2 linked regions of the Arabidopsis thaliana genome follow. The protein of the gene in region 2 binds, or shares a complex with, the protein of the main gene of each other region. Each region holds a gene or a part of one and is shown on either strand. Other genes may lie near its edges. A codon is read from its position in the direction of its gene.

Evidence for each region. Proteins that work in one complex are often made in the same cells at the same time.
Region 1: the proteins of HSL1 (region 2) and IDL1 are in contact, whole or in part, in a crystal structure (PDB 7OGO), measured with the Arabidopsis thaliana proteins. Residues at the interface, in NP_174166.1 of Arabidopsis thaliana: Tyr92 (codon at 4,684), Asn93 (codon at 4,681), Gln117 (codon at 4,609), Thr140 (codon at 4,540), Gly141 (codon at 4,537), Val164 (codon at 4,468), Tyr165 (codon at 4,465), Tyr189 (codon at 4,393), Trp211 (codon at 4,327), Asp233 (codon at 4,261), Asp235 (codon at 4,255), Gln257 (codon at 4,189), Glu259 (codon at 4,183), Tyr261 (codon at 4,177), Leu281 (codon at 4,117), Leu282 (codon at 4,114), Asp283 (codon at 4,111), Ser285 (codon at 4,105), Met286 (codon at 4,102), Ser304 (codon at 4,048), Asn306 (codon at 4,042), Tyr308 (codon at 4,036), Glu309 (codon at 4,033), Glu328 (codon at 3,976), Arg330 (codon at 3,970), Phe332 (codon at 3,964), Asp354 (codon at 3,898), Ser356 (codon at 3,892), Glu376 (codon at 3,832), Leu378 (codon at 3,826); in NP_566774.1 of Arabidopsis thaliana: Val66 (codon at 1,217), Leu67 (codon at 1,214), Val68 (codon at 1,211), Pro69 (codon at 1,208), Pro70 (codon at 1,205), Ser71 (codon at 1,202), Gly72 (codon at 1,199), Pro73 (codon at 1,196), Ser74 (codon at 1,193), Met75 (codon at 1,190), Arg76 (codon at 1,187), His77 (codon at 1,184), Asn78 (codon at 1,181).

Annotation. Positions count from the first base shown.
Region 1 is NC_003074.8:9,336,558-9,340,510, forward strand, and holds IDL1 (inflorescence deficient in abscission (IDA)-like 1), read right to left. Parts: upstream 1,519-3,953; 5' UTR 1,413-1,518; coding exon 1,152-1,412; 3' UTR 874-1,151; downstream 1-873. Other genes in the region: AT3G25660 (Amidase family protein), read right to left, coding at 3,083-3,169, 3,250-3,363, 3,445-3,588, 3,677-3,754, 3,832-3,907. UniProt on the Arabidopsis thaliana protein: Involved in an ethylene-independent separation step of floral abscission. May act with RLK5 and HSL2 as ligand-receptor pairs.
Region 2 is NC_003070.9:9,994,807-10,001,870, reverse strand, and holds HSL1 (HAESA-like 1), read right to left. Parts: upstream 5,159-7,064; 5' UTR 4,958-5,158; coding exon 2,371-4,957; intron 2,104-2,370; coding exon 1,700-2,103; 3' UTR 1,416-1,699; downstream 1-1,415.

The DNA.
Region 1 (3,953 bases), on a different chromosome or scaffold from region 2:
TCGATGAATGTGTTTATCTATAGAAATCCTAAGAGTCGGTCAATTTGTGTTTTCCTTTTCCAATTAGAATTAGGTTTCATGTTGTTTCCTTTTTCTCAAGGAAATAAGGAAAATAACGCAAATTCTAACTTAACTAGTTTGTTGGGATTAACCCCTTTTATTGGATCCGCAAAAGAGAAAGATATTTATTTGTAAAATTTTATATTTATATATCTATATAAAATATCAAATTTATATCTTGGAAACTTATAAAGTATTTATTTGTATAAAAATATTTTTATGTTTAAATATAAGATCAATCCATAATACTCATATAAGTTCTATGCAATGACGATTGTAACAAGCTAAAAATTATAAATCACAAGATATGTACCATCCATTTTGATCCAAAAGAGTCAATGTACTAATTCATGCTTTGTTTCTTCCCTGTAAAGCTATTTGTAGCAGACTCCAACATGATTACGTATATGTTTTGGTCCTCATGTGTTGTTCATTGCTTTGGTTCTCATGTGTTGTTCATTGCTTTGGTTGATAAAGATTACATAAATGTTTTGGTGTTTCAGATCCCTGAAATCATCAGAAGGTTTGATGAGAAGCGTTTCACTTTGAAGGGTAACTGATTCCAAACTTGCTTCTAGTGATTTGATTATTTGATTTTGAGTCAACTGATGAGTGAGGATGTAGAGTACATGCATGAAGATGATGAGTGTTGAGCGAGATTTGGCTGAGAAGCTCACTACGAGGAGCTGTCTGGTGAATTCTTTGAATTTTTATTATTATTAGGCCAAACTTAAAGAAGCCCATCTCATACGAATAGACGCAGGCCGCAAATGGGCTCATGCAGTTCACTTATGCAATCCCAATGGATCTATATTACTGCTGAGAGATTTCTACAATTCGCAAATTCCATAGCTTGTGAATAGAAATTGTCTTGTTCATTATCAATTTGAATTTTTGTTCCCATAACAAATAATGAAAGATATAGTCTATATACATACGTATAACGTTCCAACCGAGATATTACAAATGTGAATGAACTCATTAAATACAACTTTAAGAATCTTTTCGAAATACAATTTCATGTAATTGTCAAAAAATTTTTGAAGCAAATCCTAAGAGATTGAAATTAAACCAAAAGAAAAAAAAAACAGTTAGTGTTTGAGATTATTCACCACAGAATTATGTCTCATGGAAGGTCCCGAAGGTGGTACAAGTACCCTTTTAGAAAATGAATGGAACACACGACCTTTGAATGTAAAACCCCCAATGATCTCTTGTCTTGATCTTGTTTGAACTATTTCCGTTTCAGAAAGCTTAATCGGTCCGATCCTTGCCGTGGCGTTGTATGAACCAAAAATCAAGAGGAAAACAATATAAAGAGTCATAAACATGGTTTTATGAGAAAGATTCATATAATGTTCGGAGAAAGAAGAAGAATAAGGAGGAGGAGACACTAATTTAGCTATTAGCTAGGGTTTTATAAATTTTGGATTTTAAGAAGGCGGTTTAAGTTTTGAGATGTATATATGAGCGTGTATATATATGATATATCATGTATGAAAGTATGCACATTCTTGTATGATTGGTCAAACAAGAAAAGCAAAAGAAAAATAAAGAAGTGAAGCGCAAGTAATGGAATGTTAGTATTTTGTGATAATATTAAAAGGTCAACGATACTACGATAGTGAATAAAAGACTTGAAATGCCGCGTTGGACGATGGTGTACGTACGTGTGATTACCTCTAGTTGTCTGTCAAAATTTAATTATCAAACATTATTGGTATTATATTGTGTAAAATATAATTTCATCATCAATTATGTGTGTAAAATTTAAATTTTTGTAAGAGAATCACGTTGTTGTAGACTTTGTATATTATATACACATTATGTGTGAACAAAAGAACAATGCGTACGTGATTGTTTAGTCCAAAGTTAGGTGCCAATGACTATCAAATCATTTGGTCTTCGATTTTGAAAGAAAAGTAAATTCTATTTTCCTTTTTCTTGTAGCTTTTTAACATGATCTCTTGAGAAGGACTTGCGTAAATAGTTTGAAGCTAACCACCATGTATAGTCCATAGGCCAAATAAACAAGTTTTGTTTAAAGAAATTATTTCCGTTATTAGGGGTTACCAAACAATTAATTTATCATATTTAATAGTTAATTATTCACCTGCAAATTATTTGTGGCACCTAATATTTAAATTATTTATCAGCACATAATTTTGTTCTGTTATAACAACTAACATAACATTTCGTCCAACAAAAATCTCTTTTCATAGGTTAATGTGTTTATATATTCATGTGACAACTTTCACGGAGTAGACGTAAATGTCAAACCATGCACACGCATGATCCGTTGGATTTTGATCGTCCACTGGAGACAGATATTCGTCTGGACCACTAGATTTCTGAGATTTTAATATGTTTGCATAATTATAGGTAATAACATATGATTTCTTCAGAATTATTCTAGAAATTTTAAAGTAGTCTATACTTATACTCTAGCACCAGAGTTTCATTTTATAAAATGCCAATAATCTATTTGAAACGTGTAATGCTTTTGACCATTTATTAAGATTTGTGTTGGTACTAGTGGACAAATTTTAAGTTTACTTACTCAAGATTTATAACAAAATATACAAATTTAAATATTGTGTTAATCAATCATGATACAACCATAATTAATAATAATCATGTGCATGAATGCAATGGCAAGGACTTCTTTTCAGTTGATACAATTTTTTAGTTTATTTACTCAAGATTTATAACAAAATATACATATTTAAAAATTGTGTTAATCAATCATGATACTCAACAATAATCAAGTGCATGAATGCAATGGCAAGGGCCAAGGACCAATAAATCAAAAACGAATAAAAGAAAAAAACCATCCCCATTTAGGAGTACCAAATAAGAGCATAGAGACCAAGAAGAAGAAGAAGAAAGAATACGTATGTGGCCCATGGGGTGTATCTACATTTATATTATAAAAGAATTGAAGTACAATTACAATTGATAAATCCGTTGCTTAAACCAAGCATGAAATGTAAACGCAAAAAGAGCCTTGGTGGTTACATGGTTAGGCTACATTGGCTAACAATGGAGGAACAAAGCTCGATCCTTTAAGAGTCTGCTCAAATATGTGACCCACTTTCAGCAATTTCTCCTAAAACCAATCAACAAATCATCATGTGAATCTTAATCTAATCTTTTAGAGTAAGCAAAGAGACAGAGTTTATAACAAACCTCATCAAACGCTGCTCCGATCATTTGAAGACCAACAGGAAGACCCGAGGGACCACCTTCGACTAATCCACAAGGTAATACCATTGCAGGAAGTCCGGCAAGATTCACATTGACCTGCAACAAACCTCATATGATACAAACTATGTTTCGTGTAACAACGATTAAATAGAGAAAGAAACTACGAAAGATTTTTACCGTCATAATGTCTCCAGCATACATTGCCAGTGGATCATCTTTCTTTTCACCAATCTTGTATGCAGCAGATGGAGCTGCCGGAGAAATAAGGATATCGTTCTGTTCTAACGCTGCTTTGAAGTCTTTTCGAATTAGTGTCCTCACCTGTATTAACAACCAAACAAAAAGAGCATACATTTATCTATCAAAACAGGTTCTATTTCTATTGACTGCATTTGAAGATGCGGCTTACCTGTTGAGCTCGCTTGTAGTAAGCATCGTAGTAACCCGCAGAAAGTGCATATGTCCCCATTAAAATTCTCATTTTCACCTTGAAATCAAAATTGTCATTGATTATAATCAAGCATTTGTTGATTAAATCAGATGGAGTAAATTCTGAAATCATACCTCTCCTCCAAATCCTTCTCCACGGGAACATTCATACAGCTTATTGAGTTCTTCAGCCATAACTTGATTACCATATCTTCATTTCCAATACAAGAAACAATATCATTTTCTATATCCATGAT
Region 2 (7,064 bases):
TATAAAAAAACATATACCAAAATCGTCTTTTGTCTTTCCTAGTTTTTTTAATGGGCCTTTGACAAATTTGAGAATAGAGAGAGTAGAGTCGATATGTAAGACTTATTCAAAAATGTGGAAAACAATGTGGGTCCGATAGGCCCATTTAAAAGCCATATGACCCCTAAGGTGTGAGTGTGTACCGTGTGGTGTGGGTCACAATAACACTCAATTACTCTCATATGTATTAATGATGTACATGATCATTTCGCAATCCTGACCTTATCTATTGAACTTTGGTCCCTTAGTCCCTACTATGCTTTCCATTATAATTCTTTGTTTCTTATAAATAATTATGCTACCCACGAACTATCTTACTCATATCATACCAACCACTAGCAAGACTACTATACCAAAATTACTAGAACAAAGTTGCATCACATATAAAAGAAACTTCACACAACTATCAAAATAGAATAAAAAAAGAGTGTACTTGTTCTAGCAAATACAAACATGTTATGTGGAATCTCTATGAAACCTCATCATGCAACAAGTTGAAAAAAATAAACAAAAAGGAAATGCAAAAACAAAGAAAACAAAATTGAGAAATGATTTAGAGAGTGAAAGAGACAGAGAGACAAGGCAAAAGATGAAGGTGAGGTGTCTATGTCCCTTGAATTGAATGATAACAATGTGGGCTGGCTTCAATGCTTATTGGACCCACTTTTAATTTCCTCACCCAACAGCTCATATTTAGATTCTCACCCTATTTATGTAACCTTAATGTAAAATTCTCTAGTTAGATGATAAAGCTTAGCTAATGTTGAGATGTCAATGTTTTTGTTTTGGATTTGTTTTATACTCAACAATAATAGAAGTTATCTCTTTAGTTTTTAATGTCGTTACTTAATTGCAATTAGGAAGTTAAACGTTTACCTAATCACTACCGGTCGATTTACATGACTTAACTAATTCTTTTTCTCTTTTTGGAATTATATCTTTCTTACAAATAGTTCTCGAACTCCAAGAATATCATGTTTTAAAGAATGACTGTCAAAAAAACATACGTTGTTTATTATAGATACTAGACTTCACACAAGTAACTAAAAGTTAGAGATCTTTTCGCAGGAAGGTTGATATTAGTCATTTCATGTGCCAAGTCTGATGTTCATGCTCGTGTACGGAGAGAGTAAGTAAAGGAAATAACACAACCTGAAATTATAAATAATAATAGAAAAGTTGGTTTGAAAAAGTTGAGAATTTAAGAGACATGTGAATCTACAGTGACATCAAACTGTACACGAGCCTCCAAGAGTTCACTAAAAACGAGAGAGAGAGAGAGAGCCTAATGCTTTAAAAGATTCAGATAGACATGTTCCTACACGAACCTTGAATCTGTTTACCCAAATATGGAAACTATTTAAATGCATGTTAACGCCAGAAAGATCGCAACTTTTTCATTTGCATTTACCAAAGATAAAAACTCTTACAAAACCAGAGTTTACTAATAGCTTTATACAGTGGAGAAACTGAAACGCTGAATTAGAAACTTCTTTATATATATTATAAAAATTTCGACAATCTCTGATTCTCACTTTTAGATCAAAACCCTAAAAAGGGGTGAGAGAATCTTGATTCAATGCCCTAAATTGACAGCTTCAAGCACCAAAAATTGAGAGAGCTTTTTTGGGCAAAACACTTTTCTTTCTCCATTTGTGTCTCAAGCTATACTTCCTTGGTCTGAGGTGTCTTCGTTGTAATAAGGTGTTAACTTGCCATCCTTGTCATCTCTTATCTTGTGTAGGCTATCTTCGTCTCCACCACCAATTTCTTGCAACATCTTAACCACACGCCTCATGGAAGGTCGGTTAATGGGCAACGGACTCGTGCAGAGGAGTCCAACGTTGAGGATTTTGCTTATCTCTTCTTTGAAACAAGAGTCGAGTTTCGGGTCTATCACATGCTCTATGCCTTTTTGGTCCAATGTAGAGCAAACCCACTTCACCAAATCCTTCTCCCCAAGTTCTGGATCAACCGGGCGTTTCCTAGTTACTATCTCAAGGATCACTACCCCGAAACTGTAGATGTCGCTTTTCTCGTTCACACGAAGCGTATATGCGTATTCTGCAAGAAGTTTGAAATGAAAGTTATGGAGGGAAACAGACAAACAAACAAAAAGTTTCAAATTCCATTAATGGACAAGTGAGAAGTTGTGGAGCCATGGTTTCAGACATGTCTCAATAGATAGTGAATGCTCATTTAAGTCTCAACTAATAAAACTTAAATGTGGTTCATCTGAATCTCCGTGCAACATGTACCAAATGAGCATTATTACCTTAAGCAAAACTGTTGATTAAACAAAGCACATTTAACTTGAATCATAAGACTAACCTGGTGCGATATAACCGCATGAACCAGCGATCACTGACATCGATTTAGGAGCTTTTCCGGTCAAGTCGACAGCTTTAGCCACACCAAAATCAGCAACTCTTGCACCATAATCTCCATCGATCAAAATATTGTTTGACTTAATATCTCTATGCACAATCGGAGGAACAGAATCATGGTGAAGATACGAAAGCCCCTCAGCCGCATCTAAGATAATCTTAAACCTCGTTTGCCATCCCAACATTCCTCCTTTACTGCTATGAAGCAAATCTCCCAAACTACCATTAGGCATGTACTCATAAACCAAGAGCTTGCAGTCTCTTGTAGAACAGCAACACCATAGCTTCACAATGTTCTTATGCCTAATCTTACCCAATGTCTCAACTTCAGCTTCAAAAGCCTCATCTTGAACTCCAGGTTTGTAACCTTTCTCTGGATCACAATCTCCAGTTTCCTTAACAGAACCTGTCCATAAACGCTTAACCGCAACAGTTTCCCCATTGGTGAGTACAACCTTGTAAACTTTACCTGAAGCTCCAGCTCCAATCACATTATCTTCATCCAAGCTTTCAAGAATCTCATGCTCACTGAACCCGAGTTTGTGGAACGACATTAGAGTCCACTTAGATCTCTCCATGGCTCTTGCTTTCTTGAAAGTCCTGTACTTGAAGTAGAACCAAGCAACACCCGCAAGAAGCACCATCGCAGCAAGTACGAAAATCGATCTAAGAAGCCATACATAGCCTCTCTTCTTAGCTTCATTCTCAGAGCCACACAATCCCTTGATATCCCCACACAATCCCGGGTTCCCAATGAAGCTATTCTTATACATATCTTTCGCTAAAGAAGGCGGTAAGTCACCCGATAACCGGTTATAAGACAGATTCAGCTGGTTTAGCTTCAAACTCTGCAATGAAACCGGGATCTTGCCAGAGAACATGTTACCAGAAAGATCAAGATAGTTCAATACTGACAAACTCCCGATTTCATCTGGAATTTTACCGGTGAATTCGTTATCGGCTAAGTTTAACTCGTTGAGCTTCTTCCAAGATTTGATTCCAGAAGTTAACTCTCCTGAAAACTGATTACCATGAAGATCAAGAGTACCTAATTCTCCAAGACTCATCAAGCTATCAGGCAACGAGCCACTGAACTTGTTCCCACTTGCCGACAACTGATTAAGATTATCCAAAGAACCAATTTCCTCCGGCAAAGATCCGGTGAATTCATTGTTGGAGAGAATCAACAGCGAGAGATTTGAAGCACCTCCAATGGACTTCGAAATTTCACCGGAGAACGAGTTGTTGACGAGCTCAAGCAAGTTAACATGAGGCAATCCCCAGAAACCTGTAGGAACTGAACCGGAAAACCGGTTATAAGCTAACCGGATACGTGTCAAGCTCCTGCAATCGGCGAGACTCTCCGGTATAACGCCGGAGAAGGAATTGTGTATAATCAACAACTCCTCTAGCTCTCCTTTCGCACACAGATCCGCCGGTAAGTCGCCGGAAAATTCGTTTTCCGAAACATCCAACCATCTCAACGGCGAGTTTAGACCGAGGTCTTTTGGTAATCCACCGGTTAACCGGTTTCCGAATATTCTAATCTCGTACAAGTTCGGAGATAACGCTATACTCGCCGGAAGCTCACCTTCTAGATTGTTCTCGTAGAGATTCAAACTCTCCAACGGCACACGGCAAAGCTCGTCCGGTATTTTCCCGGTTAACTGATTCATCGACGCGTCGAGAAGTCTCAACGATTTCAAATTCCCGAGCTCCGGTGGAATCTCTCCGGTCAACGAGTTGTTGTACAGCTCAATCTGAACGACGTTAGTCAAACCACCGAGCGAAGGAGGAATATGACCTACAAGGTCGTTGAGCGCAAGGTCTAAATCAACGAGTTTACTGAGTTGACCCAGCGAGTCAGGGATCTGTCCGACTAAATGACACTCAGTGAGCCACATAACCTCGAGATTCGTCAAGTTCCCGAACTCCGGCGGGATCCGACTCGGACTAAAGGGGTTATACGAAAGATTCAGCATCTTCAACGTGCTGATGTTGCCGAGAAACGGAGGAATCGTACCGTCTAAGAGATTGTAAACAAGAGAAAGAACCTCTAGGTTTTCGAATTTGCCGAAACTCGCCGGAATGTCACCGGAAAAGTTGTTACCGGTCAAATCTAAGTGAACCAAAGTCGGAATATCGGCAAGAGTTTGTGGAAGCTCACCGGTGAGTAGATTCTGAGAGAGATCGAGAGTTTGAAGACTCTTACAAGCAGCGATGTTGAGAGGAAGAGTAGAGTTGATGGAGTTATTGTACAAAGAGAGATGAGCCAGATTAGAGAGACGACAAATGACTGAAGGAAAAGGTCCGGCGAGATTAGCGCTGGAGAGGTCTACGGAAGTGACGGAGGAGAAATCACCGGCGCAGGAAACGCCGGACCACCGACAAGGAGAAGCATCGTTGGAGTTCCAGGAAGAGAGATATGAGTCTGGGTCGTCTAACGAGAGCTTGACTTGTTGAAGAATGAAACCGTCTTGGTTAAGAGAGAAGACGGTGGGGAAAAGTAAGAAGAGAAAGAGAAGATACATGTTTCTTCGTCTTCCCCGGTATCTATGACGGTGGTTGAAGAAAGAGAGAGAGATAAGAGAGTATGAAGAAGAGAGTGTTTGTGAGAGAGTGCTTTGAAGGAAGAGAAGAAGAGAGTCTATAAAAAGCGTTGACCGGAGACAGGTGAATTATCGTGACTCTGACTGTGAATGCTATAAAAATCATTTGTTTTTCTACTATCATTTATTTTGTTTTTGTTTTCTATAACGATTCTCTCTAATTATTTGTTTGCAATTATTAGTATCTATGTCGAGTTTCCAACATTGTATAATTATCCTGTGTTTATCTGATTATAAAAGAGAATGTTACTAATAATGATGATCTAGCTAAATAGCCATATGGAAGGAAACATTCTTTTTTTGTACTTTGTTGTTTAAGAGAATGCAACTGTTTTTAAATTAGTTATGTAGGAGACGATAAGATTGTAAATTTTCAATTAAATAATTTTAGCTTTATAATATATATGGAATTTGCATACAAATTTGATTTCATTATATATGTTTTTAATGTAAATGAAAAGTTAGTTAGTAGAGTAAATGTGCATTTTAAAAAAATTGCAAGGTGAAAAGAAGGTACGGTAAACATTAATTTTGAAATGTAGATATCTGATTTTTTTTTTTTTTTTTTTTTGGAGATGGAATGAGATATATTCCGACAGTTTTATTTATTATCGGCGTTTGTAAAGTAGTAAAGTACAAATATTGTTAGAACATATCAAAAAAAAAAAAAACAGAATGTGTTGGAAGTTTACTTGGAACGTAGTCTAAAGTCGATGTGAATTAAATTAATTATCATTCAATTTTAAAAAGTTTATGCACGTCTTAAAGAGTATTAGGAATATTGTATCAACTATTAAGAGAATAAACTAGCATGCATGTAGAAACATGAAAATATTTTATTTTGTTGAAATGTGAAATTCATTTTTGAAGATAATAATATGTAGTTATTTACAAAAAATGCAAAGAAAATATGGAAGATAGGATAAGATATCAAAATATTGAGATATTTATGAAATTAAACATTCTCTAATGAAATTTGTTATACTAATTAGTATTGCAAAGGGAAAGAGGGGGACAAACTTGTATGGTTAAACGTTAGGAAACATATTGCCTAATGGTGTAGTCAATATGAGAATGCACTTCTCAAGCGAGAGTCATGAGTATTGCTTATCTTAGAGATGTCATAGTCTTAAAAAAGTATTCGAGTCGAATAAGAGTTCTTTATGGTTTTTAAATTTTAGGTTGATATGCAACAAAATTGGAAGACGTAAAATAATGTATTGTGAAAAACAAACTGTGTGTACACTTTGTTCTTATTCTCACAACTTGGTTTTCATAAGTTGTTACGGCTAAACGAAATCGTAAATTATTTTGTAGGATGTGAAAAAGAGTTGCACTAACTGTACTTGTGTTCAAGAATTTTGTTTTTGAGGACGTGAATACATTGTTGAATCCAGTTAAAAAAAATTGTTATCTATTTTTGTTTTTATTTTCTTACGATTTGGATTTCATGCCCGTTACATTATGAGAATTGTTACGTTTACTATCATAATCTCAATCTTAGTTTATCAGTTGGAATTTGATTTTATTTTAGTTAATCTTAATTTAACAAAATAATAAACTCATAAAAGAACAACACAAATTTTGCCTACATATATGTTAGTTAGAAAACGTATGTTCTAACATATGTATCGGTTGAGAAAAGCATCACTTTAATCAACATACCATTTGAATGATATTTAAAGAGATAGATGAGTGAAATTTTGGAGATAGATTGATTCCAAGCAGTCTTCTCTTCTTCGTGTTTCTAATAGTTTCTGTGAAACACACAATACAAGTTGTCAAAAAAAAATTAGGGTACACTAAACGGAGTTCGACACTTGTATCCTATAAGATAGACATTTAAGAAATTACGTACACTACAATAGCTACAAATCTCTGTCTTATGAGATTGTTATAAGCAAAGTCTCTTTCATCCTACAAATTGTTGCTAGCTAGTTGATTGAAAGAAACCGTCAAATTAGTTTTGTTTATATTTTTAATTTCATTACTTAGTTAATCAAGTTTCCATTACGTGTGATTGATGTCC